7 linked regions of the Cricetulus griseus genome follow. The main gene of each other region encodes a partner of the protein of the gene in region 5 in a complex. Links are inferred from orthologs where the notes say so. Each region holds a gene or a part of one and is shown on either strand. Other genes may lie near its edges.

Region 1 (3,500 bases), about 130 Mb from region 5:
CCATCTTGTTATTAAATTGAAATGTGATCATTTAAAGTTTTCCTCAGGTTGAATTGTAGTCTTAACAAACAACTTGTCTGTGGAATCACTGCTGTGAAAAACTGGTAGTTAAAGGAGTTCAGGGCCTAAACCTATCAGTCTATGAGGGGTGTTTGTTTTGAGACTCTGTGTAGCTCAAGTCTAGTTGTGAACACACTATTCTACTGCCTCAGCCTCCTGAGTGCTGGGAGTACAGGGTTAAGCTGCCCTGCCTGACTAATTGTGTAAGATTGAAGTTCAAGACTGTCCTTGGTGCAATTACATATGAGTTGGCTAGCCATATCAAAAGCATATGTGTAGATATATAACTATTAATGGGTCTAATAAATTTTTGAAATAGTACTTAAGGTAATTGGAACACCTGTAAACTTATGTTAAAATTGTTTTTATGAGTGACAAAGTTATAATCAATGTAATTTGACTCTTTTAAGTGGAAGAAAACACTAATTTCAGATGCAGGTTATAACAAAACTTCATTTCACTAAATGTCAAAGTTCCTTTTTGACTTCTGAACAAATTACATAAGTGTTTGGTTTTTCTTGTTTTTTTTTTTTTGTTGTTGTTGTTGTTGGTGGTGTTTTGTTTTCGTTTTTTTTTGTTTTGTTTTGTTTTTCATGACAGGGTTTCTCTGCATTCCTTGCTGTCTTGGAACTCACTGTGTCAACCAGGCTCAGGCTGCTGGCTTCTTCCTGCCTCGGCCTTGTGAGTGCTGGGATTAAGTGTGCCACCGCCACCCAACAGTGTTTTGTGGGGTTTCGTTGTTTGTTTAATGTGGAACACTAGGGCCTTTTCTCTTATCCCAGTCAGTAGCCATTATATAACTTTAAACCAGAGAATAGTTTGTCCTTTCATAGTTGTATTTGAAAGCTTAGTACAATAGACATTTTCCCCTTGTTGTGCAGATAGCTGATCTGGCCAATGAAGATACTCCACAGCTGTATGTCGCCTGTGGTAGAGGACCCCGGTCATCGCTGAGAGTCTTAAGGCATGGACTTGAGGTAAGATGGGAATTTCTTGGTTCTCTTTATGATGTGAAAGGAAGGTCTGCACAGAACATTGTACAGGCTAACTTTGAGGAGGTCAAAGATAAACTACTGTTTTTATGAACAAATATGTACTTTCTCTTGTCCCTGAAGTTTATGGAGTTCAGATTACTTTTCCCTTACTAGTTCATTCCCTATGACATCTTAGCGGAAGTAAATAATATTTTCCATGACCATTTGAAGTTAGAGTTTGTGGTTGGCAAAGGTAGGTATTAAGATGACTGTCATCCTTTTTCTTTCCTTTTTTAAGATTTATTATGTATGCAGTGTTCTATCTACACATTTGCCTGCAGGCCAGAAGAGGGCATCAGATCTCATTATAGATTATTTTGAGCCACCATGTGGGTCCTGGAAATTGAACTCAGGACCTCTGGAAGAGCAGTTAATGTTTTTTTGGGGCGGGGGGCAGGTGGAGGCAGGGTTTCTCTGTGGCTTTGGGGGCTGTCCTGGAACTAGCTCTTGTAGACCAGGCTGGTCTCGAACTCACTGAGATCCACCTGCCTCTGCCTCCTGAGTGCTGGAATTAAAGGTGTGTGCCACCAACACCCGGCTTCAGTTAATGCTCTTAAACTATGAGCCATCTCTCCAGCTCCCCTGTTGTCTGTTTCTCATCAAATTTTGTTGAAATATTGCCAAGATGACCTTCGTTTTAAATATGGCTTTAGTAAATAGCAACTTTAAACTTTTGTTCTGTAAAATTCACTTAATGATGGCATTTGCCCTAATACATTGTTGTTTGGGTGAAACAGCTTAAGATATGACCTTAAAACTATAAAAGTGGAGGTGCATGTCCGTAACTTGAGCCACAGTAGTCAAAAGTAGAAAGATTTTTGAATTCAAGGCTAGTTTCATTATTTCACTAAGTTTTGAGTGGCCTTGATCAAATTTAGAACCAGTAGGCCTACCTGCTTGACTTTCCTTTTTCTTCTCTTCCTGTTATCCCCACCACCACACCCCACCACCACCACCACCCCTTTTGTTTTGTTTTGAGACAGGGTTTCTCTGTGTAGCCCTCCTGTCCTGGAACTTGTTCTGTGGACCTGGCTGGCATCAAACTCACAGAAATCCACCTGCCTTGCCTCCTGAACACTGGGATTAAAGGTGTGCGCCACTACCTGGCTTTCTTTTTGTTGTGTTTAAAGAAAAGGTCTCATTGTACCTAGGGCTGGCCCAGACAGAGCAGTCCCACTGTCCAAATCTGCATACCAGGAGCTGAAGTTCTCAATTACTTACTGCTCATTGGCTCCTAGTGTAGTGTAAGATAAAGGATTCCAGAGTTGCTTTTTAGTGCCTTGCCCTCTGTCCTTACAACTTTATAAGCAGAGCTTTTGTTGTATTTTGGAAATAGTTAAAAATAGTTATTGCTTTGTTCCTTCTTGTATACCTGTCTTACTTTTGACTATAGTCTTAATATGAAAAAAACCAAAAAAACCAAATTTTCTATTAGTTGAGTAGGATACTTGACACATAAGTTTTACTAATGAAGTTCTTATGTCTTAATGTTCTTGGAAACTGAAAAGGGTAGTGCCTTGTTCTTTCTATAAGTACAGTGTATGAAGCACTCTGTCTCTGAGTCATTTAATAATATTTAATAAACTTAGAATGGGTTTTTCAAAAAAATTCCAAAGGTAATAAATAATCTTTGAAGAGATATTATTTTTATCTTGTGAAAGTTAGAGAAAGCAATAAAATACTGATTTAGGTTGTTTCATTTGTTTCCAATGGTGCTTGTCTTTTGTTGTTGTTCTTGAGACAGAGTTTCTCTGTAGCTTTGGAGCCTGTCCTGGACCTTGCTCAGTAGACCAGGCTGGCCTTGAACTCACACAAATCCACCTCCCAAGTTCTGGGATTAAAGGTGTGTACCACCACTGCCTGATTTTTTTTTTCTTTTTTTTTTTTTAAGGATATAGGCATGGCATATTCAAAGGAAGCATATAGTTTGGTTGTAAACCTGTACCCTTCTGTATGTTCCATGCCTTTTTGCTGTCAAGGGATTGCCTGTGCCGTCAGTCTTTGGATTTTACATTCTTTTTTCACTAAGTGTTCCAGTTCTTTTAGTGCACTGTACAGGGTGAGGCCTTTGCCTTGGGATAGTGTCACCTAGCATAATATTAAGTAGTAGAGTTTCATGCTCACTGGATCTGTGGCTTGCCTGCTCTCCTTTTAGGTGTCAGAAATGGCTGTTTCTGAGCTCCCTGGTAACCCCAATGCTGTCTGGACAGTGCGTCGGCACATTGAAGGTAAGTGTCCCTTTCCTGGTAGTCAAGATGGGTCTTGGGAACCATTGCCATGGGAAATTTAGAAACTGCATTCATAATATGTCTGTATCGCTTCATTTAGTACCCCAGAAACTTCTGGCAAGACACACCTTTTTTTGAGGCTTCTTCTGATCAGGGTACCTTCATTTACTGCTGCTCT
Region 2 (4,294 bases), on a different chromosome or scaffold from region 5:
GAATAGCCCCCAAACACAGGAAAATGGTTTATTTATAGACTCCAACACTGCAAGGCTAGGGTGTTTCCAATGGTTTTTTGGTTACATAGGAATTTGGCTGGCTGAACATCTTATCAGGGTGGTGAAAACAAACAAACAAAAAAAGGAAAGGAACATAACTGCTCCTAGGTATGGTGGCGGTGAAGGTTTATTATAGATAAAAGGAAGAGTATAGCCAGAGGCAGGGACATCTGGAAGAGTCCAGAGTGGACATGACCCTGAACTATACAAGAAGAAGGGGCAAGGGGAGAGGGGAACCAGGTGTGGCAGCCAAGAGACTCAGAGAGAGCCGATGAAAAGGCCAGGTAACCAAAATGTTTGGATTATATAGGGAAGGGCAGCTGGGGGAAGGGCAGCCCAGCCTTTGGGCTGGAGAAGTTTAGGATAGGGGGCAGGCATGCTAGCTGGGGGGCCCCTATAGCAGGCCGGGACTGAGGAATGCAGGGAGAACCTGGTGGCCAGCATTCACTCTGATACATTAAATAGGCACCTCAGCAGTGTGTCCCGAGTTTGAGACCTAACAGTTGGAGGTCAGGCTAACAGGGTGTGGAGCATTAGCATCAAAGTGGAGATTTGCAACAGAGGACAGGGAGACTGAGAATTCTTTGATCAGACATGTAGACAAGAACTTGACATGTAGTTGTCTTTGGAGTCACGATATAAGTGGTGTTTAAAACCACAAGCTTAGGGGGCTGGAGAGATGCTTCAGCAGTTAAAAGCACTTGCTGCTCTCCCAAAGGGCCCAGGTTCAATCCCCATCACCCATAGGGGATCTGACACCCTTACACAAAGCACCATTGCACATAAAAAAATAAAGCCACAAGCTTAGGCTTGCGGCACAAGCCTGGCAAGGAGAACCAACTCCTGCATTTTGTCCTATGAATTCCACACATGTGCCATGGCACATAGTTGACCACACACATACTATAAAAGGAAACTCAGGTGTTTGTACTTAGCATGCACTTAAGGGTTAATCTCTAGTCCTCTGCATCCTCAGGCAAAAAACAAGCCAGACCAAGGACCTGGCTCCAAGGAACGATCTAGCAGAGTAGATATATGGAACCGGGGAGGGCACTGCACCTGAGGGCTTCATCACCTGCCACCTGATGGGCCTGGAGGACGTGGGGGCTGGAGAGCAAAGAAAAGGAGGTGAGTAGGCAGTGGGATGGCCATGCCTTTGCAGGCACTGGTCCAGGAGCTAGGGCAAGAGGCTTTAGATACAAGGGAGGGCAGGTCTGAGCGGATCTGGCTGGTACAGCTTGGGCTGGGCAAGTAACCAGGTAGTGTACAGAGAAGTCTTTGAGAATTCGCAACGCAGTTTGCCTGGAGACAAGAAAAGTGGATTCTACTCAGAGCCAGCAAGCTTCTGCTTCTTACGGTGGCCGCGCCCAGCGTTCACTATGGGCACCTGGAAACCACAATTCCCAGAATGCCTCTTTCCAACTTCCGGGACCGGGTGAGCCGAACTCCGGAAGTAGCTGAGAAAGCGGAGGCGCCAGAGTCTGATCGTCTGCTGGGGCCGACTTGGGTTCGTCGCAGCCATGGGGAAGCGACAACACCAGAAGGACAAGATGTAAGTTGGGTAGCACCTCTCTTCTCACCTCATCACCACCCTGCAGGTCATCTCTTCCCGAAAGCCTCAGTTCTTGCAGCCCAATATCGTCTTAGCGCGGCCTCCGCGGCTAGGGCGTTTTGCTGGCCGGACTGATTCACTCCCGGGACTTACCCCTACCGCCCCTCTTTCTGCCCCTGCGTTGGTTGTCTGCCCTTTGGTCCTGGCTGTCACTTGCCAGCCTACTTGCAGGCGACAGTTTAAGACTAGCGGACTGTGTTCCGTGTTCCTCTCATTTGCCACTGTCTGTCAGGATGCTGTTTTCTGTTGTTTCTTGAAACAAGTGTAATCAGATGCTTTACCCCCAAACTGCTGGCAAGGATGCCTTTGACTTCTGTATTGCCAAATCTAGTGCGCAGCTCTCAGTCTTTGGGCTTCTTCCCTTTCCGAAGCCGACCCTTAGTGGGATCCTACAAGCGGCTTTGCTTTTTATCTGTCGCAATGACCTCTCTTTTATCATTCCTCCTTGCTGGGCTTCCTTCCCCTGTCCCAGACTTCGTGGGTGTCCCTTCATTTCTGTTCTCTGTGGGTGATCTGTTCTAGTAGTCTAATCTCGCCTGCACTAAGTCAGCTGTTTACTCAGTAGCTTTCTCAGAATTAGAATGCCTGAAAGGGAACTCTTTCTTGATAATTTTCACACCTTAAGCCTGCTCTATTTCCATCTTATTCCAGTGGTTACATAGTAAATCCCTGATTTGCTAGACATAGACTGAAGACAGTTTTCAGCCTTAAACACTGGCACACAGCAACCAGAGCTATGTTAGGTCATGTCTGGGTACTGCTCAAAACCATTCAACGGCTTCCCATCACACCTAAGGCAATGGAGAGTACTTTCTGGATCTTTAAGACTCCTTTATGGTCTGGCGTCTTTAATCCCAGTAGGGATTAGAGACAGAGAGGCAGAGACAGGCGGGTCTCTGTGAGTTCAAGACCAGCCTGGTCTACAGATCGAGTTCCAGGCCAGGCTCCAAAGCAGTACAGAGAAACCCTGTCTCGAAAAACAAAAAAAAAAAAAAAAGAAAAGAAGAAGAAGACGAAGAAGAAAAAAGAAAGGTTTTGGCTGGAGAGATGGCTCAGCAGTTAAGAGCAGTGACTGTTCTTCCAGAGGTCCCAGAGTTCAATTAATTCCCAGTAACCACATGGTGGCTCACAAACATCTGTAATGAGATCTGGTGCCCTCTTCTGGCCTGTAGGCACACATGCAGACAGAACACTGTATACATAATAAATAATTTTTTTTTAAAGACTCCTTTATGATCAGCTACTGTCCTTGCTTCTGTCTCCATCTGCTGCCCCATACCTCCCCAGATGTTCTTCTAGTGTCTCCCTTCCAGAACACATTCAGCTTTCCCTGCTCCAACCTCAGTAAGTACTGCCCTGTAAAGGGCTTCCCCAGATCTTTGTAAGCCTAGCTCTTTCTCATTGCCAGGTCATCCAGTTCATCTCCTTCAGGGCAAGGTCGCTGATGTTTGCATATATTTCTGTCTGTTGTGCTTATCATTATGTCTAATGCTGCAGCTGTTTGATGTGCACTTGTCAAGTGAGTGGCAGTTCTGTCATATTACATCTACAGCTTCTGTCCCTTCTGTGAGGGCAACTAGTAATATCCTCTGTCTTCCTTAGGTACATCACCTGCGCGGAGTACACTCACTTCTATGGTGGCAGGAAGCCAGGTAAGGGGTGTTGGTGGTACTGAGGAATGTATATAGTGGTCCAGAACACTGATATTACAGTGTATATTAGTGGGCTGAGTACAGAGTCCACAAAAGAGGATGCGTACTCAACATAGTAGAGTATAGTAGTGGAGAGATTTTAAAAGTATTTTTATGTAAAACGGCTTTTTCTTCATAGGAGGAAAACATGAATGGTAATACCCAAGTTTTCCAAGGCTGTAGAAAAAAGGATGTAGTTTTTTTTTTTCATTTATTTATTTTATTTGCATTGATGTTTTGTCTGCATGTATGCTTCTGTGAGGGTGCCAGATCCCCTGGGACTGGAGTTAGCTGTGAGCTGCTCTTGTAGACCAGGCTGGTCTCGAACTCAAAGAGATCCGCCTGCCTCTGCCTCCCGAGTGCTGGGACTAAAGGTGTGCCACCATTGCCCGGCTACTCTTAATCTGGGGCCTGGAGGTGTAGCTCGGTGATACAACTAGCACATAGCATATATAAGGTCTTGGGCTTCATCTCCAGCAATACATAATACAACTCTTCTCTTTTGGAACAACAGCAACAAAAAATTTAATCTGTGGTAATGTAGTTTTTGTGGTAGATACAGTAGATGAAATGCTTTCTAAATAAGTTTTCTGGTTTTTATTTAAACAGATATCACACAGACAAGTTTTCGCCGCTTACCTTTTGACCACTGTAGGTAAGATCTTTAAAAGGGTTCTGTTTTCTTTTTCTTAATTTAAATCAGAAACAATCTTATTTTATATATCAATCCCAGTTCTCTCTCCCTCCCATTCTCCCATGCCCCCCCAACCGACCCCCATCCCATCCCTCTTCTGCTCCATAGAAAGGGTGAGGCCTTCTATGGGGGAATCACCAAAATCTGTCACATCATTTGGGGCAGGGCCCAGGCCCTCCCCAGGTTCTATTTTCTTTTGATTATCATTCTCCAAGTGTGTGTATGTTTTAAGATAGG
Region 3 (3,985 bases), on a different chromosome or scaffold from region 5:
GCTCTTGGCTTTAATCCCAGCACTTGGGAGGCAGAGGCAGGTGAATCTCTTTTGAGTTCAAGGCCAGCCTGGTCTACAGAACAAGATCCAGGACAGTTAGAGCTACACAGAGAAAGCCTGTCTCAAAAAAACCAAAGAGTTCTAGGCCTGCCTATAATACCTACTAAGCAAGTTTCAAGCCAATCTGGACCTAACTGACAGGAGGTCAACTGTCTCAACTACAAAGATGTGGGATCATGCAATTTTTGTGTCCTGTCGCCGCCGCGCCTGCTGCGCTCCGCCCCCCCCGCCCCCCCCCCCCCCGTTTAGTAAGCAAGCCATCATGGTTCAGACATCTTGTAACTCATCAGAATTTTCTTCATTTTAAGGCTGAGTAATAATAATAGTCCATTTACTATAAATACATATGGAATGGTAATGGGACTAGAATTCAGGAAACAGGCTAGGCAAGCGCTCTACTTCTAAACTTTAGCCCCAGCCTTTTCGAGACAGGGTTTCTCTGTGTAGCTTTGGAGCCTGTCCTGGCACTCGCTCTAGAGACCAAGCTGGCCTCGAACTCACAGAGATCCGCCTGCCTCTGCCTCCCGAGTGCTGGGATTAAAGGCGTGCGCCACCAACGCCCGGCCTCCCTTTTTACTTTTTGAGACAGTGTCTCTCACTAAACTTATAAACCAGCCTTGAACTTGTGATCCCCCTGCCTCAGTGTAGGGATACATGTACACACCGCCACACTGGCTTGGAGCAAGACACTAGAAAATCTGGAAGATAACTCAGCACCCATGTGGTATCTGACAGCGATCCTTAACTCAAGTTCTAGGGAATCTGCTACCCTCTTCTGGGATCTGTGGGTATCAGACATATACACAGTGCACACACATACATGCAGGCAGGCAAAACACATACACATGGGGGGGGGGGAGATGCACCAAAAAAAAACTTTATTTTTAATCACACACATTCAAGACTGTTCTAACATTTACAGAGATGCAGACAAAGGAACTAGAACAGCTAAGACAATTTTGAAAATACTAAAGTAAAAGGGATTGGGGCACTCAGGTTTCAAGACTTATCACTTAGTGTGGTACTTGAGACAGCATGGGATTGGCGGAATGATAGACAAAAATAAAGATAAAGATAAAGGTGGAAAGGAACAGGGCTCTAGAGAACAGCTGGAGGCCTCCCACTGGCAGTGAGATGTCTGTATCCTGACTGTGATACTGCCCACGGTTGTGTGACAAGTTGCCATTGGGAGAAACAAGGAAAGGTACATCTCTCTGCACTATTTCTGGCAAAGAGTTATCAGAATTAAATCAATAACTTCCTCCAAATTTGAAGTTTCACATAAAACAACACAAACATATATCTAGTCTTTAGAAAAGCCCACAGCCAGGACAAGGAAAGACGGAGACACGCCGGTGCAGGCCACCTTTAGGTCCAGCAACAGCTCTGGATTTGAACGTGGGTCCTAGCAAAGGCTCCTGCCCACTCACTCACCTGCTTCACTTTGACGGTGGAGTAGTGGGGGCTCCGGCTTCTCTTAGTCCGAGGAGACTTGCTTCTTCTCCCTGAGGACTTGTTTTTCTTTTTGGCTGGGGACCTTATCAGAGCATGGTACACAGGATTTTACCTCAATGTCCCTGCCCCCAAATAAATTAGCTTCAAGTATCAGGCTACTAAACATAACACATTTGTGAAATCACTAATGGAGTCAGGTCCTCACTTCCCTAGCCACTTCTCCCAGGCTCACATACACAACTGCCTGCTCACTTAGATACCCTAATACTTGAACCCCAAAGCTCTTTTCCCAGTCTGTCATCCTACTGATTGGCATCACTATCCAGGGAGTCAATCTTGCCTGGTTTTTGGTTTTGTTTTGTTTTTTGTTTTTCCTAACACACTCCCTTCTCCAACAACCACATCCAATCCCTTGGCAAGTCCCAGGGACCCACCCTTTCCTCCACCCCACCTCATTCCTACAATGCTGCTCCTTCATCGCTCAATTCCAGACACACTGCCTGTTTTGCTTCAACTTTTAAAACAAGCCCAATTCCACTTCAGGTTCTTCGCATACATTTTTCTCTGTCCTGACCCAGCGCTAGTGCCGGGGTTAAAGGCGTGCGCCACCACGGCCCGGCCACGTTACTGTTTGACTATATCCTCAGCACTAATTGAATCTATTTGTTATTTTCCTTCTTTAGGGTTGGAGCACGCCCAATTTCGCCGGGGCCAAACCATCTCTCTTCTTCACCCTGTGGCCCAGTACCTCAATTGATCGTTAGCCCACACTGTGCACTCAGTAAATCGATGCCGTACGGGGGGCATCGGCGAATGAGTGCTGCGAAGAAGTCGCCAGGACCCAACGTGAAACAACACTTTGGCGGCAGGCAAGTGGAAAGACATTCCCACCGTCCCCCGTGGGAGGCGGGGGGAATCTCATTTCAACTCAACAGGTGCTCTACACCCCGAGTCGCTCGCACCGCCCGGGCCCCGCGCCATCCCGGCCGCGGCCCTCTCACCGGCTCACTCCCCGGGCTCGACTCCCACGGTGGCTAGCGCGGCCCGGCTCGGCGGCGGGCGGGGACGGGCTAGCGGCTGGGGCGTCGGGCCGCCGGTGCGCGATAGGTTCGGGGCTCAGACGCTCCTGCTTCACCACCACGGTCGCCAGTGCGTCGTCGGCCCGGTGTCGCCGCCGGCCGCTTCGCTCCCGCTCGCTCTTCCCGGCCTTCATCCTGCGGCCCGGCCGAGAGCCACTTGCACGGTCCGTTGAGCCACTCGAGCCGAAGGAAGTGACGGCCCGACCTTTGTACTTCCGCTTCCGGGCAGCGCGCTATCCCAGAAGCCCTCACGGCGGGGGGTCCCCTAGGTGGGCGTGGCCGCAGATGCTAAGGTTCCTACGCTGGGGACGCCCGGGCTTGTGACCCCGGGATCCCGGCTCCTGGGGAAGTGAGGCTGGAGGACTGGAAAGTCAAGGCCAGACCTCGGGAGGCGGAGGCAGAAGAATCGCTGTAAATTCGAGGCCAGCCTGGGCAATTTAGTGAGTCGGTCAGGTAGAGATTGCCTAGCCGAGCCCGAAGCCCTGGATTCCATCCGCAGCACCGCCAAATAGAAATTAAGTTAAAAGGGCGGAAAGCCTGGAGAATGTATCTTAACAGTAAAGTGAGCGTTTGCCTCGCGTGTGCAAAGGGCTGGGGGCAGTCCCTAAGACCTCACAAATCACCAAAAGAAAAAAATCCTTTTTTTTTTTTTTTTGCTTCTCGAGACAGGGTTTCTATATGTAACGTTGGCTGTCCTAGAATTTACTCTGTAGACCAGGCTGGTCTCGAACTCGAGATCCGCCTGCCTCTGCCTCCCAAGCCCTGGAATTAAAGGTGTTCGCCTGGCTCTTAAAAAAGACAAATCTTGCCAGGCGTTGGTGGCGCACTCGGGAGGCAGAGGCAGGCGGATCTCTGTGAGTTCGAGGCCAACCTGGTCTACAGAGCCAGTGCCAGGATAGGCTCCAAAGCTACACAGAGAAACCCTGTCTCGAAAAACCTAAATAAATAATAAATAAATAAATAAATAAATAAATAAATAAATAAATAATCTTGGGGTCTGGGCTGGAGAGATGGCTCTTCCTGGGGTCCTGAGTTCAATTTCCAGCAACCACATGGTGGCTCACAACCATCTGTGATGAGATCTGGTGCCCTCTTCTGGCCTGCAGGGATGCATGCAGACAGAACACTGTATACATAATAAATAAATAAATCTTTAAAATAAAAGAAAGAAAATTGGAAAGTTAATCCAAACCTGTTCGTGGCGGATTGTTGATAGTTACAAAACACAGACAAATACTCAACAATAGGAAATTCTTTTTTGTTTCTTGAGACAGTGTCTATGTAATCTTGGCTGTCCTGGAACTCACACAGATCCACCAGCCTCTGCCTTCTAAGTGCCAATCGTTGCTAAACAAACTAAGGAGTCAGGAGATGACTTGCGTTTTAAGGCT
Region 4 (3,500 bases), on a different chromosome or scaffold from region 5:
ACAGTACTGAAAGACACACCTAGAGTACTATTAAAGGAAAGAATTGGAGCTGGGTCACCTCCAGGCACAAGAGACCAAAATAGTTCATTACCTATTTCAAGCCAAGATGAATTAATGGAAGCAGAAAAATCTGAGCAACCTTTAAGCCAAGTTATACAGAGTTTATCTCCAGAACATAAAGAAATGCCTGGAAGTAACATTGAATCATCTCCTGAAATAGAAAGGCCTGCTGTATTGTCTGCTCTTGACCAAAGCCAGGCACAGCCCTCTTCTAAACCAGCAGAAATCCCTGCAGTGGCTTCATGTTGGAGTGGGCTGCAAATGTCTCCAGAACATAAAGAACTATCTCATTCTTCCCCTGGGGAGAATAGCTTTGAGTCATCTTTAGAGCTTAGAAACTCGGGCCCTATTTCAGAAGTAAATGCTGGATTTTCTCCTGAAGTTAAAGAAGAATTGAATGGGCCATTTCTTAATCAAACAGAGACAGATCCCTCTTTGGACATGAAAGAACAATCAGCAAGATCCTCCAGGCGCAGCAGTTCTGAGTTATCCCCAGAAGTAGTAGAAAAGGTAGGAATATTTTCAAATCAGAGTGTGTCTTCTCCTACACTTGAGACTGTACACAGAACACCTTCAAGAGAAAGAAGTAGTTCTGCATCTTCTCCTGAACTGAAAGATGGTTTGCCCAGAACTCCGTCTAGGAGAAGCCGATCTGGGTCTTCTCCAGGACTTAGAGATGGGTCTGGGAGTCCTTCTAGGCATAGCCTGTCTGGGTCATCTCCTGGGATCAAAGATGCACCTCATACCCCATCCAGGGGACGAAGTGAATGTGACTCTTCCCCAGAACCAAAAGCATTGCCTCAGACTCCAAGAGCACGAAGCCCTCCATCATCCCCAGAGCACAACAACAAAAGTGTCACCCCTCAAAGAGAAAGAAGCGGGTCAGAATCATCAGTAGAACAGAAAACTGTGGCTAGAACCTCTCCTGGGCAAAGAAGTCGATCTGGGTCTTCCCAAGAGCTTGATGGAAAACCCAGTGCATCCCCTCAAGAAAGAAGTGAATCAGACTCCTCTCCAGATTCTAAACCCAAGACTCGAACCCCTCTTAGACAGAGGAGTCACTCTGGTTCATCCCCAGAGGTTGAGAGCAAATCTCGACCCTCTCCCCGGCTCAGTAGGTCTGGTTCATCCCCTGAAATGAAAGATAAGCCAAGAGGGCTGCAAAGGGCTCAGAGTGGTACTGACTCTTCTCCTGAACACAAAATACCTGCCCCTCGGGCCCTGCCCAGACGAAGTAGGTCAGGTTCATCAAGCAAAGACAGAGGCCCTTCACCTGAAGGAAGTAGTAGTTCTGAGTCTTCTCCAGAACACCCACCCAAATCCAGAACTGCTCGAAGAGGCTCCAGGTCCTCAATGGAGCCAAAGACAAAGTCTCGCACACCACCTAGACGTCGGAGTTCTCGATCATCTCCCGAGCTAACCAGGAAGGCTAGAGTCTCTCGAAGAAGCCGCTCTGCATCCTCATCACCAGAAACCCGCTCCAGAACTCCACCAAGACGTCGAAGAAGTCCTTCAGTGTCTTCACCAGAGCCAACTGAAAAGTCAAGGTCTTCACGGAGGCGGCGCTCAGCTTCATCACCCCGAACCAAGACTACTTCAAGGAGAGGCCGATCTCCTTCACCAAAACCTCGTGGACTCCAAAGGTCCCGATCCCGCTCACGTAGAGACAAAACCAGAACAACCAGACGCCGAGATAGGTCTGGATCATCTCAGTCAACATCAAGAAGACGACAGAGGAGCCGGTCTAGGTCTCGTGTCACTCGTAGGCGGAGGGGTGGCTCTGGTTACCATTCAAGATCACCTACAAGACAGGAGAGTTCCCGAACTTCATCTCGACGCAGAAGAGGCCGATCTCGGACACCTTTGACCAGTCGGAAGCGATCTCGATCACGAACATCACCAGCCCCATGGAAGCGCTCTAGATCTCGAGCCTCACCAGCTACTCATCGGCGATCCAGGTCCAGAACACCACTGATCAGCCGGCGCAGGTCCAGATCTCGGACCTCACCCGTGAGTAGGAGACGGTCAAGGTCAGTGAATAGGCGTAGATCTAGATCAAGAGCATCCCCAGTGAGTCGTAGGAGATCTAGGTCAAGAACACCACCAGTAACTCGTCGTCGATCAAGATCCAGAACACCAACAACGCGCCGTCGCTCTCGTTCTAGGACTCCTCCAGTGACTCGAAGAAGGTCCAGATCTAGGACTCCACCAGTAACCAGGAGGCGATCTCGAAGCAGAACTTCACCAATTACTCGAAGAAGATCCAGATCCAGGACATCCCCAGTCACACGTAGAAGATCTCGATCTCGCACATCTCCAGTCACTCGAAGGCGCTCTCGTTCTCGAACCTCTCCAGTGACACGTCGCCGCTCCAGGTCCAGAACTCCTCCAGCTATTCGTAGACGCTCTAGGTCTCGGACACCACTGTTGCCACGCAAGCGCTCTCGAAGTCGCTCACCACTTGCTATCCGTCGCCGCTCTAGGTCTCGTACTCCTAGAGCAACTCGAGGCAAGCGGTCCCTAACAAGATCCCCTCCAGCCATCCGTAGGCGGTCTGCATCTGGAAGTAGTTCTGATCGGTCACGTTCTGCCACTCCTCCAGCAACAAGGAATCATTCTGGATCTCGTACACCTCCTGTAGCACTCAGTAGCTCTAGAATGAGCTGCTTCAGTCGTCCTAGCATGTCACCAACGCCTCTTGATCGATGTAGATCACCTGGAATGCTTGAACCCCTTGGAAGTGCTAGAACACCCATGTCTGTGCTACAGCAAAGTGGTGGCTCCATGATGGATGGTCCAGGTCCCCGGATTCCTGATCATCCAAGAGCATCTGTTCCAGAAAACCATGCTCAGTCTAGAATTGCACTTGCTCTCACAGCTATCAGTCTTGGCACTGCCCGGCCACCTCCATCTATGTCTGCTGCTGGCCTTGCTGCAAGAATGTCCCAGGTTCCAGCTCCTGTACCTCTCATGAGCCTCAGAACAGCCCCAGCTGCAAACCTTGCCAGCAGGATTCCAGCAGCATCTGCAGCAGCCATGAACCTTGCTAGTGCCAGAACATCTGCTATTCCAGCATCAGTGAACCTTGCTGACTCGAGAACACCAGCTGCAGCAGCAGCCATGAACTTAGCCAGCCCTAGAACAGCAGTAGCTCCTTCAGCTGTGAACCTTGCTGATCCTCGAGCCCCTGCAGCCACAGCTGTGAACCTAGCAGGAGCTAGAACACCAGCTGCACTGGCAGCTTTGAGTCTCACAGGCTCTGGGACACCCCCGGCTGCTGCAAATTATCCCTCCAGTTCCAGAACACCCCAGGCTCCTACTCCTGCAAACCTGGTGGGTCCTCGATCTGCACATGGCACAGCTCCTGTGAATATTGCTGGCTCTAGAACCCCTGCAGCCTTGGCTCCCTCAAATCTCTCCAGTGCCAGGATGGCTCCAGC
Region 5 (3,500 bases):
TAAAGGTGTGTGCCACCAACGCCCGGCCTAGATTTATTAACTTTTTATAGTATTTCGCTTGCATGTATATATGTGTACTGTGTGTATACCTGGTGCCTGTGGAGGTCAGAGGAGGGTGTTAGATATCTTTGGAACTGGAGTTAGGAATTATTGCTGTAAGCCACCATGTGGGAGCTGGGAACTGAAATTATGTCTACAAAAGCGACAAGTGAGCCAGCTCTCCAACCCTGACCCAGTCCTTTCTTGATGACACAGTGGAACAGTAGGTTCTGACAGAAAGCTGAGGCTGCTTTCATGTAGCAAGTCTATTGTGTTCAGCACAGATTGTGTCATTTGAATTTTGGGTATTACCGTCAAGTTCAGGAGCTTTTTGAAACTTAGCTGATGTTTTAGATAAATGAGGTTCCATTGAATTGGAGTCAAGAGTGTAAAGCATAAATACATAAATAAAAACCCAGAGACAGATAACTGGAGTTCAAGCTGGAAGATCAGAGAAGCAAAGTGGCCAGCCGTTTTAAGAGTTCTTACTTCAATGCTCAGACCAAAGGGGCAATCCACTGAACCTCAGATTGCATCTCCAAACTGCACTGCTCCTCACCAAATCTCAGACTGCTCCGGCCTGAGACTGCCCTGAGCTCTTTGTATTCTCTTTTGATATTCTCTGGTATCAAAGGTGTGAGCTCTGTTTCTCTTTTAGACTGATTCACTCACGTAGCCCTGGGTGGCCTTGAATTCACAGAGATCCATCTGCCTCTTGTCTCCTGAGTCCTGAATTAAAGGTGTGGCCACCATTGCCCAGCTTCTCTAGCTAGCTAGTATGGCTGGCTTTGCATCCTGATCTTCAAGAAAGCTTTATTAGATCATAAACAATGTATCACCACAAGAGTGTCTAATAAAGAACTGACTGATACTCAGTAACTCCTCTCCTGACAATTTTTACAGGAAGAACAAAAGACCATGAAGTCAAAAATGAGAGAGAAGGTTCGGCCCAAGATGGGGAAGATTGATATTGATTACCAGAAACTACATGATGCCTTTTTCAAGTGGCAGACCAAACCAAAGCTGACCATCCATGGAGACCTATATTATGAGGTTCGGGAAGGGGACTGGGAGGTACAGGGTTGAGCCTTGATGTTAACTTCGGTTAGAGTCCATTTTAAAGCTGGTACAGTGGTCCCTAGTCTTAAAATGTCCCATTCCTGCCACCGAGTAACATAGTATGTGGATTTTTTTCTTCTTCCTCAAACAAGTCCTTTTTTCCAGAAGAAAGTTATATGTATTTGAAGTGATGTTTGATGGGTGGTTTAGGGACAATGGCATGTGTTGTGCAGAAACATTTTGTGTGTGTGTGTGTGTGTGTGTGTGTGTGTTTGGTTTTTCGAGACAGGGTTTCTCTGTCTTTGGAGGCTGCCCTGGAACTCACTCTGTAGACCAGGCTGGGATCAAAGGCATGCACAACCACTGCCCAGCACATTTTGTGTTTTAAGTGGGAGAAAAAGTTTTATTTTTCCCCCTGATCTTTGAAATGTTAATCACCATACCATCAAAAGAAGATCAGATAGAAGGATGCTGACAGTCATCTTGTCCAGTGGGCTCGTTTCACAAGTGAGAAAGCAGGTGCTGTATTTGGCCTTATTCTCACAGTAGCAGTAGGGAGTCTGGTCTTCTTCCTTTTTCTATTCTACCCAAGTGGAGCCCAGCAGCCCTGATGGGACTTTGTATCTGATGGAGTTAGGGCTTCTTGTCTGTTCTTATGTCCTTATGCCACTGAGATCTTAGTATGTGTCTGGAGTCCTCAACAGAGCAGGCTGTGCTTTTTCCCCAGGGCAAGGAGTTCGAGACAAGGCTGAAGGAGAAGAAGCCTGGAGATCTATCTGATGAACTAAGGATTTCCTTAGGGATGCCAGTAGGACCCGTAAGTTTGGCTAAGAGGCTGGGAAGCTGGAGAGAGGGTGAGAATAGGAGCAGAAGGGAAAGATAGGGTAGGGGAAGGTAGGTCATAGCCTGTTCTGTTTTTCTTACAGAATGCCCACAAAGTCCCTCCCCCATGGCTGATTGCCATGCAGCGATATGGGCCACCCCCATCCTACCCAAATCTGAAAATCCCTGGGCTGAATTCTCCTATTCCTGAGGTAAACAGTGAGCTTGTTTTCCCTCTTGGCTGCCTTGGGCTATGTGTTACACAGGAGTGTGTGTGTTACACAGGAATGTGTGGGCATACGTTCCTATGGTGGCCAGAGCAGAATATAGAGTGACAGATGGCTTTTTGTTTGCTTGCTTGTTTGTTTTTTGAGTGAGTCCCTCCCGATCTTGGAGTGCTAACTTTTTTCTAGGGCCTCAGTCTTTTCTAGAGTTTTGGAGAACTTACTCATGTTCCCTCTTCTGCAGAGCTGTTCCTTTGGATACCATGCTGGTGGGTGGGGCAAACCCCCAGTAGATGAGACTGGGAAGCCACTTTATGGGGACGTGTTTGGAACCAATGCTGCTGAGTTTCAGGTATGGGGAGGCTGCTGAGTTTGATTTTACTTAATGCTAAAAGGGTTAGGAATAGTAGATCTGTAACTTCATTATCAGGGAGCTGGGCTTGGTGTTCAGTCTGAAAAGGGGCATGTATTTTCTTGGGGTGTAGCACAGCTTTCCTTTAAAGGATTTGTGTGTTTATTTTTCCTTCTTTTAGTGAACAGCAGAGTGGGGCAATAGGCACGAAGTGAGTACTTATTGAATGAATGAGGAATCTCTTTTAGACCAAAACTGAAGAAGAAGAGATTGATCGGACCCCTTGGGGAGAATTAGAACCATCTGATGAAGAGTCCTCAGAAGAAGAGGAAGAGGAAGAAAGTGATGAAGACAAGCCAGATGAAACTGGCTTTATCACACCTGCAGACAGGTAGGAAATAGAACCTAGCTCCTCCAAAGCAGTCTGTCTTTGGGGGCTGCTTTTTTACAGTGGAGATTTTGTTTCTCTCCTCATAGTGGCCTCATCACTCCTGGAGGGTTCTCATCAGTGCCAGCTGGAATGGAGACCCCTGAACTCATTGAGCTGAGGAAGAAGAAGATAGAGGAGGCGATGGATGGGTAAGAGAAGTAATCGGGCAGTAGTTTTGGGGGGAGGACTTTCACTTTAGTTGGTCTTCTAGGTTGGTTGACTGACTTTTTAATTCCATTTTCCTTCCTTCCTTCCTTCCTTCCTTCCTTCCTTCCTTCCTTCCTTCCTTCCTTCCTTCCTTTCTTTCGTTCGTTTTCAGAGACAGGGTTTCTCTGTAGCTTTGGAGGCTGTCCTGGAACTAGCTTTTATAGACCAGGCTGGCCTCGAACTCACAGAGATCTGCCTGCCTCTACCTCCCCAGTGCTGGAACTAAAGGCATGTGCTACCACTGCCCGCTTCTTTATTCCTTTTCTTTCTTTCTTTCTTTCTTTCTTTCTTTCTTTCTTTCTTTCTTTTCTTCCCTTTCTTTCTTTCTTTCTTTTAAAGATTTTTATTTATTTATTATGTATACAAC
Region 6 (3,363 bases), on a different chromosome or scaffold from region 5:
GTTTTGTTTTGTTTTTCGAGACAGGGTTTCTCTGTTTAGCTTTGGAGCCTATCCTGGCATTCACTGTGTAGACCAGGCTGGCCTCGAACTCACGGAGATCTGCCTGCCTCTGCCTCCCAAGTGCTGGGATTAAAAGTGTTCACCACCAACGCCGGCGAGAAACACTTTACTGGGTGAGTCTGCCACTGATTGGCCAGTTCTCACAAGTAGGAAGTTGTAGCTGGTGACATGAGCTGTCCCTGCTTATTTAGACCTTGGTAAGTCAGAATTAATTGGTTAAATCCAGTTGTGTTTCCAACTTGATCAACTGGTTCCTTGTTTCCATGATTACTGAAAAAAAAAATTGATCTTTTTCAAGGAATTGGGCATTCTCAGAAGCTAACACCCAAATAAACACCATAGGAAATTTACAACACAAGAAAATCAGACTTTATAGGGAATCCATATATGTATGCAATGGTTGTAGAATGCCCTTTCTAATTGGTAGTGTTTAATTAAGCACTGGACCTGTTAGAAGTCAGCATTTCTCACATGTGACATGGCTCATTCCTGTGTTGAGATAGGTTATTAAAGTCAGAACAAACTGCATTATTAATGATAAGACATAGTAATTTAAAGGGATTGTGCCTGGTGAAAATGCACTGTAGGTCATCTGTATGTCCCTGATACTCACTGCATCACCATGGCCTTCTAAAGTAGAATAGAAGGAAGTGGTAATGATCCATTTGCTACTGAGTCCCCAAAATGACAGTATCTGTAATATTTTCCTTTCCTACCAAATCTCTTTAAGAATCTTCAAAATCTGAACATACTCATAGGAGTTTTCCATACAAATAAATGTCACTCACCGTCTATGCTGCTGCAGGGAAAAGACTGGAGGTTCCTGACAGTACCAACTGCCCAAATCTTTACTTATACAGATCTAAAGAAATCAATGTCGCATGTGGGCTTGTCTGAAAGTTGCAAGGGGTGTAGGCAGAGTTTTATTCCTGTCTACTATGATGAAGAAAATACGTATTTAAGATGCACTGATACAAACTGGATTTTTTTAATTACATAATGAGTAGAAAATTCTTAACACTTTTGTTTATTCATATAAAAACTGAATTTTTTCCTTTCCTAATTCATTCAATTGCCCTGAAGTCTTTTGATTCCCTGTGTGTTGCTGATACCTTGCAATGGGGATACAGCTAATCCTGGCGTAGTTCCCTGCTGCTGAGGGTAGCTAGCTTATGACCACTTAGGAATCAAGCACATGCTGATACCTTAAGACCAGTAAGCATTTGCTAAAGTAGGAAGGCAGGATAGTGAAACTTGCTGTAATCAACAGTAAGAGGAGAAAATTAGTTCATAGAGTTACGCCAGAAGTTCCAGCCCCTTTTGCATAGAAAAATTCAGCCACTCCCAGAAAAGACAGCCACAGCACCATTTGAACATCACTTTTGGTTGTTTTTAAGCATTTATCTCATAGATGCATACTTTTTGTTCTGTTTGTCCCTGCTTATTTGGTTTTTGTTAATTTGCTAGTAGTGCTGGGGATTGAACCTAGGATGTATGCAAGGCAAAAATGCTCTACCACTACACACCAGCCCTAACACATCCCTTAAAGATGGGGATTTTTTTTTTTTTTTTTTTTTTTGGCTTGGTTTTTGTTGTGTTTCTGGTGTAACCCTTGCCTTTGACCCAAACATCAGACAGGTTTAGTCATTGGCTGGCATCTGGCTCCACAGCTGGCTCCGTGTATTTGAGTACACTCTTCAAAGAAAGAGGATAGAGTTCCAAATACAGTTTTAGGAGACCCCCCCACCCCGCCCCAGGTAGTAAGCATAGCCTCTCACCAGGGAGGAATCTGCAGTGAGCATGAGAGACAGGCATGTTCTCCAAAGTTTTGCTTTGTTTCTGTTGTGCAGTTCTGGGGACGCATGCTGGGAACTCTGCCACCAGTGGAATTCCTCACACAGCCTTGTTTTCTGTAGAACTGCTTTCCAGGTGGGATGGATAGTGTAAACAGCAACATCTCCTGGTGCTCCAGGCTGCCTACTTCCCTGTGTGAGAGTGGGGAAAAAAATCTCTCCATTGGGCCAGGCGGTAGTGGCAACAGTCTTGCGGAGGCAGAGGCAGGTGGATCCCTGTGACTTCAAGGCCAGCCTGGTCTGCAGAGGGAGTTCCACGACAGGCTCCAAAGCTACACAGAGAAACTGGGGGGGGGGGGGGGGGCTCTCCATTGGGTTCTCAGCCTGCGCTCACTGGGCCTCTGTTCTCCTTCAGGATGTCACATGTGCTCCAGTTTGAAGACAAAACCAGGAAAGTGAAAGATGCAAGCATGCAGGACTCAGACACATTTGAGATCTACGATCCTCGGAATCCGGTGAACAAAAGAAGAAGGGAAGAGAGCAAGAAGCTGTTGAGAGAGAAGAAAGAAAGAAGGTGAGAGGAGAGTGGTGATGCAGAACTGCTGGAAGCCTGCCTGCCATGAATGTCTTCGTGATGGCCAGCCATTGTTCACATCAGCAGGGCAGCATGGAGGGCTGTGAAAAGTACATCTGAACCTGTTCTCTGGTTCAGAAACCATATTTTGTTTTTTAAATTTGGAATGATGTAAGCAAATGCTTTTGGTTACTGACAGATTTTCTTTTCCTTAATTGACCTTTTCTATTGCTAAATCAGAAATAAAATCAGTTTCTTTCCAGTTTAAATGTTAACCACTTACAGGTTATATATGCCTGTTTATGCCCCTTTACCCTGAAATGTGTGAGGTTATCTTGTCTAGATGTTTTATAAGTGCTCACAGAAAGAATAAGGGGAACTTCCTCGACACTTTGATATAGAATCAAAATTATAAAATAAAAAACATTAACATTGATGACTCTTTTTGTATATAAACATAAAAATAGCCAGACCAATAGGACTCTTGCTTTAATTCCTAAGGAACCCACAGGCAAATTAATATTGTCTCTGTTCAGGCTATTGAATGCATTCAGGACAGTAGCACTCTGCTGCCATGCTCACCAAATACCACATCCTGGTGCTTGGCCACCTGCCACCCTCTGCCCCCACCAGCAGCGCAGCCCCAGGAGCAGGTGGGGTGCACGGGACCCGTAGCTCCCGCCAATAGAACACATCGGGAATTTAGCTCTTGATGCAGTCATTCACATTGGGTGATTCTGTTCCCTATTTTTAGTTCTAAAATCTGCTTGCTAAAATTGTACAGCAGGCTAACTTCAGTCACCTAATAAAACTTCACAGCCACATCTTCTCAGAAGAAGTAATGAAGTCGGTTTCCTCTTCCTCAAGCACTGCTTCTTCATCTGTGATCCCAGGTGCAGCACTGGCAGTAGACAAGAGGACAGAGAAATCCTAGTC
Region 7 (4,244 bases), on a different chromosome or scaffold from region 5:
ATGCTTGGATCATTTCAAAGTCCTGACAAGACTCCAAAAGATAACATACCACAGGCAAATCTCCATCTTCTTCCTCTTCCTTTTCCGGCTTAGTGGTAGAAATAGCTGCCCAGCCCACATCATCATCAACAATCCGCATTCTAGATGAGAACAATAAAAGCCTCAAAAAAGAACTCATTCTGGGACACAGGCCTATGTACACTTACCTATTGTTTTTTGGCATTTATTTATCGTGTGTGTATGTGTGACGGGGTGTGTGTGTGTGTGTGTGTCATAGAATACATATAGAAGTCAGAGGACAACTTGCAGGAGTCAGTTGTTTCCCTCCACCATGTGGGTTCAGAGGATTGAACTCAGCCTGTCAGGCTCGTTGGCAAGCATTGGGCCATCTCACCTTTTGGCTTTTAAAGTTCAAAAGTATGGCTCAGTCTTTGTGTATATGGACTCCTACTGTCAGTTCACTCCATCACTGTCCACCTTTTTGTTTTTTGGTTTTGGTTTTTGAAGACAGGTTTTCTCTATATAACAGCCCTGGCTATCCCGGAACTTGCTCCATAGACCAGGATGGCCTTGGACTCAGAGATCCACCTGCCTCTGCCTCCCAAGTGGCTTACACTTCCACATTGCTGTTCATCAGTGAAGGAACTCAAACAGGCAGGATCCTGGAGGCAGGAGCTAATGCAGAGACCATGATGGGTGCGACTTACTGGCTTGTTCCCCATGGCTTGCTCAGCCTGCTTTTTATAGAACCAGGACCACCAGCCCAGAGATGGTACCACCCACAATGGGCTGGGCCCTCCCACATTGATCACTAAATGAGAAAATGCCTAACTGCTGGATCTCATGGAGGCATTTCCTCAGTTGAGGCTCCTTCCTCTGATGACTCTAGCTTATGTCAAGTTGACACACAAATCCAGCCAGTACACCACCTAAGTTGCAATGGGTTTTGTAAGTAGCCTAGAGACAATTTAAAGAGGATATGAATAGTTTACCCACAAATACTGTATCATTGTGTGGAGGAACTTAAGTACCTGTGGACTTGAGTAACCAGTGTACCAACTGCTGAAAGATGATGGCATCCAATGGATGTGATCTGTGCTGCAAAGAGGTATTTGAAAAACCAGGAACACATGCTACATCTTTAATCACAACAGCCATTTCAGACAAACAGCAGTGTTCAGGACCACTAGGACTCCGAGTCTCAGAGAGGTGAACTCTCTTGCCCAAGATGACCCAGGCTATAAAGTAGCACTGCTAGGATTCAGATTCCAGTTAGTGCTGTTCCAAAGCTTAAACCATGTTCCCTGAATGGCATTGCTCCTTCTTAGAACCACACTGAGCTGGGCGTTGGTGGTACACACCTTTAATCCCAGCACTCCAGAGGCAGAGGCAGGCAGATCTCTGTGAGTTCGAGGCCAGTCTGGTCTACAAGAGCTAGTTCCAGGACAGCCTCCAAAAGCCACAGAGAAACCCTGTCTCGAAAAATTAAAAAAAAAAAAAAAAAAAAAGAACCACACTGAATTTACCACATACCTTAACTGAATATAGGCTCAACTAGTAACACCACAAAGATTGATGTCATGCTGAAGTCCCAAATGAAGGTAAATTTGGGCAAAGAGGGAATTAGGGAATTAGTCTACCCACTTCAATGGGCCACAGAATTTTCTCAGTAGAAATATGAGAATAATACTGTCAGCTCACGATGGTTCCCCCATAGAGGGGTGTGAACCACACTTTATATTCTCTAAGCTGCTAAGCTCTTAGCAAGCAGCAGACCCAAGGCATGGTGTATAAGAACGGGATTAGCTTCCAGAGTTTCGACCTTGTATCCAAAATAGTACCTTCTTAGCAAGCTGCTAAACTTAGGGTCGCTGCTCTAAAGTCTATAATTTCTTTTGTCCTGTGGGCTGATGTTGGATCTCCTATCCCAACCTTTCCAGATTCCAGTGGCCAAGTCACTGCATCCGAAATCTGTCTCAGCACATCCCTCTTTCGAACCTGGAAAGTATATTATTTAAAACAATGTCTACTTCACCACAATGTCCTGAAAGTTATATGGTCAAAGTTTTTAGAAAGAGGCCAGGCACATGATAGGAACTGTACCCATATTAGTTGTTACTGTTAGTAGTAGGCAAGAATAACAGGACTTAGATCTTTGGTTCCAGATCAGTTCCTAATACTTTGAAGGCCCCAGAAACAGATTTTTGAATTCTAACATTAAAAAAAAAAAACCGCAATCACTGGGGCTTTTAATTAGTTCTACTACTCTCAGGGCACGACTTTTCAATCTGTTCGAGGGACGATACAAGGCTACAAAGGCGGGAAAACAGTAAGGAAGTTCTAAGTTCTAGCTGGCCTTAACGCATGGAAGACACTGCTCAGAGGACGAGGTCTGAGCTGCAGGCGGCGGCGAAGAGCCGGCTCGGGAGCAGCGGGGCCGGGCCTGGGTCGGCAGCGCTCGCAGCGCCGCGCGGGCGGGGAGGAGGAAGAGCTGCGGCCGAGGGCGCAAAGGGGCAGCGCGATGCCCCATCAGTCCACTCACCCCTTGCCACCGGCGCCTCCTGGCTTCGGCCGTTTTCTGCGCCGCTTCCGAACCGACTCTGGACCTCCTTCCGGGCCAGCATCTGCTCCAGACAAGTAACGCTTCAGATACTCAGCCTTGGAGAGCGGCAGAGCTGCCGCCATGGCAGCGGCGAGGGCGGGGCAACGGCTCGGCGTTGGGGACAAAAATTCTTCTACGGGAAACGGATGGGGGTGGAGCCAGAAACGGAAGCCCTAGGAGTGGCCCTTATGGAGCTACTGGGGCTGATAGGTGTCATGACTCTTAAAAAATGTCTTTACAGGCTCGGTGTGGGGAAGGGGAGGTGCATGAATGCATCGTAGGGCCGTTCTGCTTTCCTGTGACGACACATCCGTGCAACGCTCTCAGCCGGGACTGTTCCAGCAAAGAGGTCACAGGCCGACTTAACTAGTCCTGCCCTGACGACTGCACCGGAGTAGGGAAGAACCGAAACTCAGGAGATCAGAGCACCTATTTGAATACGAGACCGATCGTAACTGTGCCACTGGGGGCAAGTTATTGAATAGCATTTTAATAACGGATGTTGTGCCAAATGCCTAGCACAATTAGTTTATTTCAGTTATTATTATCATTATTGAAGAAGAAGAAGAAGAAGAAGAAGAAGAAGAAGAAGAAGAAGAAGAAGAAGAAGAAGAAGAAGAAGAAGAAGAAGAAGAAGAAGAAAGAAGAAAGAATTTACAAAAGCAGGGACTTGGTGAAGCTGCCTGGTGGATACCCTTGAGGACTCATAGGTAGATGCCAACCCAGAGCAGGAGGAAGAGGACTCCCAAGCCCATTAAGAGTTAGGGCACCAAGGAGATGAGGAGCTCTTTATAAATAATTGTATGTACTTGGTGGAGGTGACCTTATAAACGAAGAACCAGGAAGTACCACGATCAGGTGTGGGAAGACAGCTGGATTGACCCAGCTGGTGTACCTACTGATGACCCCCAGCTCTTTTGCCCACAATAAACCACCAGTAGAACTATTTCGGTTATTTTTATTGGTATAAATACCTTTTGGTAGACAGTATACTGGAACAGTGCCATTTAGGGGAAGTCAAACAAATCCCACCCCCAATATTGTGACTGAAAAGTGGATTGGTCTCATCAAACCTGTATTGACCTTTCCACGTTTGGTATTATCTCTCAAGAAAATGGTATACAATCTTCCCAATAAAAATGACAAGGAATTGTTGTCAATGTGGCAAAGAAAAGAAAGCCAGGAAGATTCTATTTCTTATAGGGGGTTAAGTGTTTGGTGAATCTTCACTTGACCCCCACAATTCTGTTTCTTCTTCCATCAAGCACTGGGGATTGAACCCAGGGCCTTGCACATGATAAGGAAGAGTTCTGTAGCAGAACTACTTCCCCCACCCCTTTCTGAATTTTGGAGACATGACCTTGCTAAGTTGCCCAGGATGATCTTGAGTTTGTTATCCTTCTGCCTCAGCATCCCAAGTAGCTGGACTATATACCAACACGGCCAAGCCTTCAGTTTTATTAGCCTCTTTATAGGTGATAAGTTTAGAGGAATATAGGAGCAAACTCATTCTCATACTCCCGAATTCTGACTTTTCTAGAAGAGGCCAGCCAAATACAGTGCACGAGGTTATCCAGATTGGGTTTGTTTTGTGACAGGGGTTCTCTGTATAGCCCTGGCTGGCCTGAAACTCTGCCTGCCT

What was found.
Region 1: Sf3b2 (region 5) and Sf3b3 share a complex: the UniProt entries of both Homo sapiens proteins name them as parts of the SF3B subcomplex of the 17S U2 SnRNP complex. The link is inferred for Cricetulus griseus from reciprocal best matches to the Homo sapiens genes SF3B2 and SF3B3.
Region 2: Sf3b2 (region 5) and Ppil2 share a complex: the UniProt entries of both Homo sapiens proteins name them as parts of the minor spliceosome. The link is inferred for Cricetulus griseus from reciprocal best matches to the Homo sapiens genes SF3B2 and PPIL2.
Region 3: Sf3b2 (region 5) and Snip1 share a complex: the UniProt entries of both Homo sapiens proteins name them as parts of the minor spliceosome. The link is inferred for Cricetulus griseus from reciprocal best matches to the Homo sapiens genes SF3B2 and SNIP1.
Region 4: Sf3b2 (region 5) and Srrm2 share a complex: the UniProt entries of both Homo sapiens proteins name them as parts of the minor spliceosome. The link is inferred for Cricetulus griseus from reciprocal best matches to the Homo sapiens genes SF3B2 and SRRM2.
Region 6: Sf3b2 (region 5) and Cwc27 share a complex: the UniProt entries of both Homo sapiens proteins name them as parts of the minor spliceosome. The link is inferred for Cricetulus griseus from reciprocal best matches to the Homo sapiens genes SF3B2 and CWC27.
Region 7: Sf3b2 (region 5) and Bud13 share a complex: the UniProt entries of both Homo sapiens proteins name them as parts of the minor spliceosome. The link is inferred for Cricetulus griseus from reciprocal best matches to the Homo sapiens genes SF3B2 and BUD13.

What each region holds. Positions count from the first base shown.
Region 1 is NC_048596.1:187,226,287-187,229,786, reverse strand, and holds part of Sf3b3 (splicing factor 3B subunit 3), read left to right. Parts: intron 1-941; coding exon 942-1,037; intron 1,038-3,249; coding exon 3,250-3,322; intron 3,323-3,500. UniProt on the Homo sapiens protein: Component of the 17S U2 SnRNP complex of the spliceosome, a large ribonucleoprotein complex that removes introns from transcribed pre-mRNAs.
Region 2 is NC_048597.1:72,219,843-72,224,136, forward strand, and holds the start of Ppil2 (RING-type E3 ubiquitin-protein ligase PPIL2), read left to right. Parts: upstream 1-1,494; 5' UTR 1,495-1,580; coding exon 1,581-1,612; intron 1,613-3,274; coding exon 3,275-3,324; intron 3,325-3,972; coding exon 3,973-4,018; intron 4,019-4,294. UniProt on the Homo sapiens protein: Has a ubiquitin-protein ligase activity acting as an E3 ubiquitin protein ligase or as an ubiquitin-ubiquitin ligase promoting elongation of ubiquitin chains on substrates.
Region 3 is NC_048595.1:27,987,065-27,991,049, forward strand, and holds the start of Snip1 (smad nuclear-interacting protein 1), read right to left. Parts: upstream 2,801-3,985; 5' UTR 2,729-2,800; coding exon 2,517-2,728; intron 1,598-2,516; coding exon 1,495-1,597; intron 1-1,494. UniProt on the Homo sapiens protein: Required for pre-mRNA splicing as component of the spliceosome. As a component of the minor spliceosome, involved in the splicing of U12-type introns in pre-mRNAs. Down-regulates NF-kappa-B signaling by competing with RELA for CREBBP/EP300 binding.
Region 4 is NC_048600.1:43,333,547-43,337,046, forward strand, and holds part of Srrm2 (serine/arginine repetitive matrix protein 2), read left to right. Parts: coding exon 1-3,500. UniProt on the Homo sapiens protein: Required for pre-mRNA splicing as component of the spliceosome. As a component of the minor spliceosome, involved in the splicing of U12-type introns in pre-mRNAs.
Region 5 is NC_048596.1:54,031,087-54,034,586, forward strand, and holds part of Sf3b2 (splicing factor 3B subunit 2), read left to right. Parts: intron 1-942; coding exon 943-1,092; intron 1,093-1,825; coding exon 1,826-1,915; intron 1,916-2,024; coding exon 2,025-2,132; intron 2,133-2,388; coding exon 2,389-2,496; intron 2,497-2,744; coding exon 2,745-2,887; intron 2,888-2,973; coding exon 2,974-3,075; intron 3,076-3,500. UniProt on the Homo sapiens protein: Component of the 17S U2 SnRNP complex of the spliceosome, a large ribonucleoprotein complex that removes introns from transcribed pre-mRNAs.
Region 6 is NC_048595.1:322,922,088-322,925,450, reverse strand, and holds the end of Cwc27 (spliceosome-associated protein CWC27 homolog), read left to right. Parts: intron 1-2,268; coding exon 2,269-2,431; 3' UTR 2,432-2,863; downstream 2,864-3,363. UniProt on the Homo sapiens protein: As part of the spliceosome, plays a role in pre-mRNA splicing. Probable inactive PPIase with no peptidyl-prolyl cis-trans isomerase activity. As a component of the minor spliceosome, involved in the splicing of U12-type introns in pre-mRNAs.
Region 7 is NC_048597.1:158,021,024-158,025,267, reverse strand, and holds the start of Bud13 (BUD13 homolog), read right to left. Parts: upstream 2,801-4,244; 5' UTR 2,686-2,800; coding exon 2,543-2,685; intron 141-2,542; coding exon 50-140; intron 1-49. UniProt on the Homo sapiens protein: Involved in pre-mRNA splicing as component of the activated spliceosome. As a component of the minor spliceosome, involved in the splicing of U12-type introns in pre-mRNAs.